Callithrix jacchus: one gene and its partners. The protein of the gene in region 2 interacts with the protein of the main gene of each other region in a pairwise test. Links are inferred from orthologs where the notes say so. Each region holds a gene or a part of one and is shown on either strand. Other genes may lie near its edges.

Evidence for each region.
Region 1: the proteins of HSPB1 (region 2) and NVL interact in binary tests that used the Homo sapiens proteins (3 or more experiments, as listed by UniProt). The link is inferred for Callithrix jacchus from reciprocal best matches to the Homo sapiens genes HSPB1 and NVL.
Region 3: the proteins of HSPB1 (region 2) and PELO interact in binary tests that used the Homo sapiens proteins (3 or more experiments, as listed by UniProt). The link is inferred for Callithrix jacchus from reciprocal best matches to the Homo sapiens genes HSPB1 and PELO.

What each region holds. Positions count from the first base shown.
Region 1 is NC_133520.1:4,688,950-4,692,604, reverse strand, and holds part of NVL (nuclear valosin-containing protein-like), read right to left. Parts: intron 3,554-3,655; coding exon 3,304-3,553; intron 1,781-3,303; coding exon 1,562-1,780; intron 1-1,561. UniProt on the Homo sapiens protein: Participates in the assembly of the telomerase holoenzyme and effecting of telomerase activity via its interaction with TERT. Involved in both early and late stages of the pre-rRNA processing pathways.
Region 2 is NC_133503.1:11,064,000-11,067,721, forward strand, and holds HSPB1 (heat shock protein beta-1), read left to right. Parts: upstream 1-1,592; 5' UTR 1,593-1,632; coding exon 1,633-1,996; exon of another isoform or gene 1,997-2,437; intron 2,438-2,679; coding exon 2,680-2,743; intron 2,744-2,854; coding exon 2,855-3,044; 3' UTR 3,045-3,164; downstream 3,165-3,722. UniProt on the Homo sapiens protein: Small heat shock protein which functions as a molecular chaperone probably maintaining denatured proteins in a folding-competent state. Plays a role in stress resistance and actin organization.
Region 3 is NC_133503.1:157,029,640-157,032,183, reverse strand, and holds the end of PELO (protein pelota homolog), read left to right. Parts: 5' UTR 1-359; coding exon 360-1,085; intron 1,086-1,370; coding exon 1,371-1,802; 3' UTR 1,803-2,004; downstream 2,005-2,544. UniProt on the Homo sapiens protein: Component of the Pelota-HBS1L complex, a complex that recognizes stalled ribosomes and triggers the No-Go Decay (NGD) pathway.

The DNA of each region.
Region 1 (3,655 bases), on a different chromosome or scaffold from region 2:
CAAAAAATTAGCTGAGCGTGGCAGTGTGCACCTGTAATCCCAGCTACTTGGGAGGCTGAGGCAGGAGAATCGCTTGAACCTGGGAGGCAGAGGTTGCAGTGAGCCAAGATGGTGCCACTGCACTCCAGCCTCGGTGACACAGCGAGACTCTGCCTCCCCCCACCCAAAAAAAAGTAAATAAAAATTAATCCAAAGTTTCATGTGCATTAAAACTGCCTTGACCCATACGAGTATTATCAGGTTCAGAAAGTCTTTGTCAAACAATTTGGTCTTGATTGAAAGCATAAGTTTTTTGTTGCTGTTTAAACTCACTGCTATAGAAATAAAGCACAACCGAAAGGATCAGCATAAAATAGGTCTCAATGAAATATTATTCAGCCACAAAAATGAATGAAATCCTGTCATTTGCGGCAACATGGATGGAACTAGAGGTCATTATGTTACTGAAATAAACCAGGCACAGAAAGGCAAATATTGCACATTCTTACTCATAACGGGAGTCAATAAAGTGGACCTCATGGAGATGGAGAGCAGATTGATAGTTACCAGAGGCTGGGAACGGAAAGCAGGGAGGAAGGAGTATGATAAAGAAAAGTTGGTTAAAGGGTTAAAAAAACACAGGCTGAGCACGATGGCTCACGCCTGTAATCCCAGCACTTTGGGAAGCCAAGGCAGGTGGATCATGAGGTCAGAAGATCAAGACCATCCTGGCCATCATGGTGAAACCCCGTCTTTACTAAAATATAAAAAAAAATTAGTGGAGCATGGTAGCACGTGCCTGTAGTCCCAGTTACTCGAGAGGCTGAGGCAGGGAATTGCTTGAACCTAGGAGGTGAAGGCTGTACTGAGCCGAGATGGCACCACTGCACTCCAACCTGGCGACAGTGTGAGACTTCTTCTCAAAAAAAAATAATAATACACACACACACACACACACACACACACACACACTGCACTCCAACCTGGCGACAGTGTGAGACTTCTCAAAAAAAAAAATAATACACACACACACACACACACACACACTGCACTCCAACCTGGCGACAGTGTGAGACTTCTTCTCAGAAAAAAAATAATAACACACACACACGAGTTTGGTGTTAGGTTGTTAGGTAGGAGCAGTAAGTTCTGGTATTTCATAGCACAGTAGGGAAATAATATTTCAAAACAGTTAAAAGAAAAAAGCATATTTCAAAATAGCTAGAAGAAAAAAGTATATTTCAAAATAGCTATAAGGAAAAAAGTGTAATGTTCCCAACACAAAGAAAACATAAACATTTGAGGTGACAAATATCCCAATTACTCTGACTTCATCGTTACCCATTTAATACATGTATCGAAATACCATATGCACCCCCAAAATATTTACAACTATGATACATCAATTTAAAAAATGAACAAATAAACTGGATCTCAAAAGAAAAACCATTGTGGGGGGCACTTGAAAAAAGTGTTATATTCAAGTCAGTTTAGACACAGAACCTAGTACACATGCACGGAGCTTTATCTCTGGTCCTTAATCCATGACATGCCAGTAATATTTGGCAGCTGATATACCTACCAATATTGCCATGGTGAGCTCCTCTCTAATGTCTTCCAGGGCACCAATATCTGCCCATGTCACATTAGGGACAGTGACAAAGCCTTCCCTTTTGGCAGAGGGTTGGACTGAGGATAGAGCAACAATGAAATCATTCAGTTCAATGCACAGTCCTTGCATCTGCTCCTCTGAGAGGGGATCTTGGTCTCTTAGCAACCCCAGCAGCCTTTGTAATTCATCCTTGAAGGGAACAATTGAGGGGGAAAAAAATAAAAAACCACCACAACAGTTATTGAAAAGTTACATTTTCTACTTGAAAAAATTATTACTGCAGTATTTCTGCAATCTATCCTGAACTTCTACGTATTTCAATAATTTTCTCTCTGACATGAGACATGTTCATTTTACTCTAAAGGATCATATGCTCTGATCAAGTAAAGATACACCAATTATAATTATAATTAAATATATAAGAATGATTTCTAGATACTATTTTTAGGGGTAAGCATAGCAAATATAAGCAGTTGGCAAATACTTATTTCAGCAACCATGATATTTCCCATGTTTCATTTATAAATATTCAATGAAATTCATCAGCTGAATTCTGATGAAATTAAAACAAAGATATGCTAGAGGTAGTATAATTCATGAATATGGTTCCTTGATGGATTATAAACTATGTAGAGGCAAGGCAACTTTCCTATTACCATTAAATCTTAAATTTAAGAGGCAGATTTCTTGCTTTGTGAGGGAACATGAAAAGACAAGTCTAAAAAACAGGTAACCAATTAATTCAACTTGTAAAATATTAATTTATATGCAATATTTTTTAATGAAATCTGATGGTTTTATATCCCATGCAATATTATAAAAGAAATGAGTTTGCTATATTTTACGGAAGTAATTGCAGTTTCAAATGACAAAGAAAAAAACAAATTATCTGAGAACAGAAGATGTGTGTTTAAGCTCCTGCTCTGTAAAGTAGAGGTTGTATGGCCTTGGGCAAATTACAGCCTCTCTCTTAAGCTTAGTGCCTTTGATTAATTATAAAACGGGGAAAGTAATGATATTTATATAAGGTCACAGGGATCAAATTATATAACGCAGAAGCCATCTGTGCAAGCTATAAAATGCTATATATATTGAGTTTTCATGACTCACAAAACTAAAAAATTTAATATTGATCTTAGACTGATAAATGTCCCCTCATTCACATGACTGTCCGCCAGAGCTATCTGCAGCTAAGATCTGGATATTGCTGTGTCAACAGACCATCCAAAAGCTAACCAGGAGATATAATTAAACGCCAATGCCAAAACAGGGGTTGACAATCTTTTTCTGTAAAGGACTAGACTGTAAACACTGTAGACTTTGTGGGCCACAGTCTCTGCTGCAGACTCCTGTGTGAATTCTGCCGTGAAATGAAAGCAGAAACAGACAAGTATACAAATGAACATGGCTGTGTTCCAATATAACTTTAATCTACAAAAACAGGTGGTGGGTGGGTAGGCCACAGTCTGTCAACACCATTCCAGAATTTCATAATCATTATTGTAAAATAAATTTATTCAGAATAAACTAAACATAAAACAACTCACATTTTTGAAATTATACACATTGTGGGTATAACTGATAATTATCTTATAGATTGAATGCCAATAAAACAAGAAATAATAAACCTCAACTATATTGACCCTTACTTCAACGTAAGATAACACAAAGAACATTAAATGGACACTTGAAGGTGCCTTTAGAGAAAACACCTGTGTTTCAGAAGTGGGCTCAGTTCCCAGCCTTTCCTCCTGGACTCCTTTAGATGGCAAATCATCCATTTCCGGATCTTTCTTCTGCTGTTCCTGTAGCTTCATTAAGACTCTATTGACTGCACACATTGCTGCCTCTCGGCACAGTGCCATCAGATCAGCACCAACAAAGCCTGGAGTTAGGTGTGCTAAGTGACAGAAGTCAAAAGCCTGAGGAAGCCTCAGTTTTCTGCACAATGTTTGAAGTATTCTATAGAAAAGACAGGGAAAAATATTTCAGATTCCTCATCTAATACTAAAAACAAGTCACCAAATATATTTATTTGAAGTCCTTCACCTCTGCCAATGGTAT
Region 2 (3,722 bases):
CATGCCTGTAATCCCAGCTACTCAGGAGGCTGAGGCAGGAGAATCATTTGAACCCTTGAGGCAGAGGTTGCGGTGAGCTGAGATCCTGCTTATGCATTCCAGACTGGGTATGCAAAAGAGCAAAACTCCATCTCAAATTTAAAAAATATAAATCAACAAAACCACAGTAATATAATTTTTTGTTTTGTTTTTTGAAACAGGGTGGGCCAGGTGTGGTGGCTCATGCCTGTAATCCAAGCACTTTGGAGGCCAAGGCGGGCGGATCACCTGAGGTCGGGAGATCAAGACCAGCCTGATCAACATGGTGAAACCCCCTCTTAAGAAAAAAAAAAAGGAAAAGAAACAGGGTCTTGTTCTGTTATGCAGACTGGAGTGCAGTGGCACAATCAGGCTCACTGCAGCCTCCTGGGCTCAAATGATCCTCCCACCTCAGCCTTCTGAGTAGCTGGAACTACAGATGCACGCCACCATCCCCAGCTAATTTGTTTTGAATTTTAGTAGAAATGGGGTCTCACTGTGTTGCCCAGGCTGGTCACAAATTCCTTGCTTCAAGTAATCCTCCCACCTTAACCTCCCAAAGCCCACACACCTTGCAACCACACAGATTGTCAGATTCCTTTTTTTTTTTTTTTTTTTTTTGAGATGGAGTTTCGCTCTTGTTACCCAGACTGGAGTGCAATGGCACGATCTCGGCTCACTGCAACCTCCGCCTCCTGGGTTCAAGCAATTCTCCTGCCTCAGCCTCCCGAGTAGCTGGGACTACAGGCACGCACCACCATGCCCAGCTAATATTTGTATTTTTAGTAGGGACGGGGTTTCACCTTGTTGACCAGGATGGTCTCGATCTCTTGACCTCGTGATCCACCCGCCTCGGCCTCCCAAAGTGCTGGGATTATAGGCGTGAGCCACCACGCCCAGCCATCCAGCTAATTTTTAAACATTTTTTGGTAGAGGTGAGGTCTCACCATGTTGCCCAGAATGGTCTCAAACTCCCGGCCTCAAGGGATCCATCCTTCCTGCCTTGGCCTCCCAAAGTGCCGATTACAGGCATGAGCCATGCACCCAGCCCCTTTTTATTTTTTTGAGACAGGGCCTTGCTCTGTTGCCTAGGCTGGAGTGCGGCGGTGAGAACATAGCTCACTACAGCCTCGAACTCCTGGACTCAAGCACCAGACTGCTTTACATCACATTCCACACACAGCCTTGTGGTTCCAACCCTGCCTCTGCCACTTCCCAGCTGTTTGCCCCAGCCCAACCTGTCTGGCGCTGTCCTGCTTAACAAAAGGACTGGCCTGGCCGCCGGCCACACCCGCCAGCGCTGAAGCACCAGGGCCTCCGAGTGCCCTAGTGTGGCACGTCTCCAGCGTCGCACTCTCGAACTCATTTGTTTTCCTTAACGAGAGAAGGTTCCAGATTGGGGCAGAACCCTCTTCGCCCCGCCCACGGCCCCCTGAACTCTGCGGATGGGGGGGAGGGGTGCATGGGGAGAGGCGGTCCCAAACGGGTCATTTCCATTAATAGAGACCTCAAACACCGCCTGCTAAAAATACCCAACCGGAGGCACATAAAAGCGCGACCCAGCACCGCGGCCCGCACTTCTCCGAGCAGACGTCCCGGGCAGAGCCAGCCAGCATGACCGAGCGCCGCGTCCCCTTCTCGCTCCTGCGGAGCCCCAGCTGGGACCCCTTCCGCGACTGGTACCCGCACAACCGTCTCTTCGACCAGGCATTCGGGATGCCCCGGCTGCCCGAGGAGTGGTCGCAGTGGTTCGGCACCAGCAGCTGGCCGGGCTACGTGCGCCCCCTGCCCCCCGCCGCGGTCGAGGGCCCCGCAGTGGCCGCGCCCGCCTACAGCCGCGCGCTCAGCCGGCAGCTCAGCAGCGGGGTCTCGGAGATCCGGCACACGGCGGACCGCTGGCGCGTGTCCCTGGACGTCAACCACTTCGCCCCCGAGGAGCTGACGGTCAAGACCAAGGATGGCGTGGTGGAGATCACCGGTGAGCACCCCCTGGCCCTGCAGGGGAGGGGAGGAGGCTAGCGGGGAGGGCGGGGCCCGGGGGTGCGGTTGAAACCCCGGGCCTGGGGAGTTAAAAGTTAGCCCAGCACCGGGAAAAACGGGATCCGTCCGTGATTCCCCTGCTCAGGAATCGGGAGTGCAGGTCGCTTCTAAGGTCGCTTTCTGCTCTGTTATCTCAGCGCCTTGGGAGGCGGAGGCCAGGAGTTCAAGACTAGCCTGGGCAATATAGCGAGACCTCCCCCCCTACCAACTACAAGAAAATTAAAAAGCAACCAAAAATGTTTTAAAAGATCATCGGTGAAGAAATGCTTCTTTCCACGGAACTCTCTCCCCACCCGCAGCCCCATCCGCAGATAAGCGGGTCCCCTGGCGTGGTCCCTGTCCCTAGCCGCGCGAGGGGCGTGCGTGCTCCTCCCAGTGCGCCTGCGCGTTGCTCCCTCCGCCCCTCGGCACCCTGCTCCGTTCCTCCCAAAACTCTTACTCGAACTTTCCGGAAGTTTCTGAGAGCCCGGACAGGCCGGCACGCCCCCACCCCCAGTCTCCTCTGTTAATCCCTGCCAGCCTGCAGTCCTGGCTGCCTCCAAGCTGGAGGTGGGGCCTCTGGCCTGGCGGGGCCGAGAGTCGGTCCCCTTTCCCTCATTCTGATTTTCCTGTCCCCCGAAGGCAAGCACGAGGAGCGGCAGGATGAGCACGGATTCATCTCCCGCTGCTTCACCCGGAAATACTCGTGAGTCCTGCCGCCAGGTCGGGGTGGGTGGGTGCCGGGGGCTAGGGAGGAGGGCACAGGGACCCACCCGAAGTGTAATGTAACGTTCACATTCCCTCTCTGCACGTCCAGGCTGCCCCCTGGTGTGGACCCCACCCAGGTCTCCTCCTCCCTGTCCCCTGAGGGCACACTGACCGTTGAGGCCCCCATGCCCAAGCCAGCCACACAGTCCAACGAGATCACCATCCCTGTCACCTTCGAGTCGCGGGCCCAGCTTGGGGGCCCAGAAGCTGCGAAATCTGACCAGTCTGCAGCCAAGTAAAAGCCTTAGCCCGGATGCCCACCCGTGCCGCCGCCACTGGCCATGCCTCCCCCCCCACCTGTGTGTTCTTTTGATACGTTTATTTGTTTTTCTCAAATAAAGTTTGAAGCAACCCACCTGTCACTGGCTCAGACCCTGGTGTTTGTGGAAGGAAGCTTCGGGCACCTGCCATTCCCTGGCTTACACTAGCCACCTTTGCTCAGGGTGTGCTGGGTGCACAGCCCCGTGCTGGGCCATGTGGGTACTCCCGTGTAGGTTGCTAGGCACAGGCTAATTCACATCCATAAAGACAGAGAGGTCCTATTGCCCGGCATTGTGGCTCAGACCTGCAATACCAGCACTTTGGTAAGTTGAGGCAGGAGGATTGCTTGAAGCTGAGAGTTCAAGACCAGCCTGGACAACACAGTGAGACCCTATCTCTTAAAAATAAAAAGCCAGTTGCAGTGGCTCATGCCTGTAATCCCAGCACTTTGGGAGGCTGAGGGGAGCAGGTCATGAGGTCAGGAGTTCGAGACCAGCCTGACCAACATGCTGAAACCCCATCTCTACCAAAAATACAAAAATTAGCCAGGCGTAGTAGCATATGCCTGTAATGTCAGCTACTCAGGAGGCTAAGACAGGAGAATCACTTGAACCTGGGAGGCAGAGGTTGTGGTGAGCCGAGATTGTGCCACTGCA
Region 3 (2,544 bases), about 150 Mb from region 2:
TCTCCGTTGGGGACGTGAGACGTGCGACTAGGCGCGCGACGCGGACTGCGCATGCGCCTTCATTACATCAGCCCGCTGCTCCATGCTGCCAACGGGAGCAGTGGAGAAGACGCTGTTCGCCGCTGTGTCTCCCGCGCCTGTTAGGCGCAGCCCGCCCGGAAACCCAGAGACGAAAGGATAGCGGAAGTGCTCTCCTCGGCTGTATGAGTAGAAGCAAGAGTATCTTCTTCCCGCCAGGCAAGTACCCGTAGGAACCGGGCCCCGCCCCCTTCCCGCCCTACACTCTCATCCCCTCTCCCTGGGCGGAGGTGAGGACCTCCTTGGCTCCTCTAGTTCTGTCACTGAGCCCCTGCTAGGCCATGAAGCTCGTGAGGAAGAACATAGAGAAGGACAATGCGGGCCAGGTGACCCTGGTCCCCGAGGAGCCCGAGGACATGTGGCACACTTACAACCTCGTGCAGGTGGGTGACAGCCTGCGCGCCTCCACTATCCGCAAGGTACAGACCGAGTCCTCCACGGGCAGCGTGGGCAGCAACCGGGTCCGCACTACCCTCACTCTCTGTGTGGAGGCCATTGACTTCGACTCTCAAGCCTGCCAGCTGCGGGTTAAGGGGACCAACATCCAAGAGAATGAGTATGTCAAGATGGGAGCTTACCACACCATCGAGCTGGAGCCCAACCGCCAGTTCACCCTGGCCAAGAAACAGTGGGACAGCGTGGTTCTCGAGCGCATCGAGCAGGCCTGTGACCCAGCTTGGAGCGCTGATGTGGCAGCTGTGGTCATGCAGGAAGGCCTCGCCCATATCTGCTTAGTCACTCCCAGCATGACCCTCACTCGGGCCAAGGTGGAGGTGAACATCCCTAGGAAAAGGAAAGGCAATTGCTCTCAGCATGACCGGGCCTTGGAGCGGTTCTATGAACAGGTGGTCCAGGCTATCCAGCGTCACATACACTTTGATGTTGTCAAGTGCGTCCTGGTGGCCAGCCCAGGATTTGTGAGGGAGCAGTTCTGCGACTACATGTTTCAACAAGCTGTGAAGACCGACAACAAACTGCTCTTGGAAAACCGATCCAAATTTCTTCAGGTAAAACAATCTTACCCAGGGATAGTTAAGAACGGGCAGAGGGATTTGTATAAACTACTACTAAAGTTTTAGAACTAGGAAAAATGAGAAGAGAAAGTCTTTTACTTAGCTGAGATTATCATGAGATAATGAAGTAAAAAGAGAATGTTAAATGACTACGTAAACTTTGCTGAATTCCTTAAACATATAAAGCCTTGTTAGTGCTTTTGGCTTTAAGCCTTTGTGGGCTGATTAATGGGTGTTCTAAGAGATTATTTTGCCTAACTTTTGTAATTGTGATTTTAGGTACATGCCTCCTCCGGACACAAGTACTCCCTGAAAGAGGCCCTTTGTGACCCTACTGTAGCTAGCCGCCTTTCAGATACTAAAGCTGCTGGGGAAGTCAAAGCCTTGGATGACTTCTATAAAATGTTACAACATGAACCAGATCGAGCTTTCTATGGACTCAAGCAGGTAGAGAAGGCCAATGAAGCCATGGCAATTGACACATTGCTCATCAGCGATGAGCTCTTCAGGCATCAGGATGTAGCCACACGGAGCCGGTATGTGAGGCTGGTGGACAGTGTGAAAGAGAACGCAGGCACCGTTAGGATATTCTCTAGTCTTCACGTTTCTGGGGAACAGCTCAGCCAATTGACTGGAGTAGCTGCCATTCTCCGCTTCCCTGTTCCTGAACTCTCTGACCAAGAGGATGATTCCAGTTCTGAAGAGGATTAATGATTCAAACTTAAAATTGAGACTATCTTGTGTCTCACTCCTAAACTATTACAGTACATTTCTCAGCATCCTTGTGACAGAAAGCTGCAAGAGTGGCACTTTTTGATTCACACAGGGATTCTTATGTATTTGGTTACACTAGATATTTTGTGATTGGCAAGTCATGTATTTAAACAATAAACTAAAAAATAATCACCACGTACTACCATTTTTATTAATTAATTTTGTATAGGAATAATGAGTTATTTGTAGTACTTGGAAACAGAAAACGTGTATTTAATAACATTGCCTATGCAGTATGTTGTTTGGGATAGATCATGAAATTTCATACTGCATGCTTTGAAACAGTTTTCCTTAGAAAAAGTATTTGCTACCTTATCCTCAGTTTACATCATTTATTTTAATTCTGCATGGTATTCTTGCATTGCATTTAATGATCCCTCTTCTCCCCACCTCCACACACTGCATTTTTTTTTAATTTAAGGAGTTTTACTATTTTAAATGATTGCCATGCAATTAATAGACTCAAAGACAAGTTTTAAATATTTTTCTTAAAACATGTTAAACCAGTCACGTTGACAGGAAATGCTTGGTTTTGTTTTGTTGTCTTTAGAATTAGTCATATTTGATTTAGAGGGTCACTTAATTCGTTGTTTTTAGATTTTAGAGCTTTGATCTGCTAGGGATTGTCAAAATAATCTTTTTGAGGCATCTTTATTTTTTTAAATTAGACTAAATAATG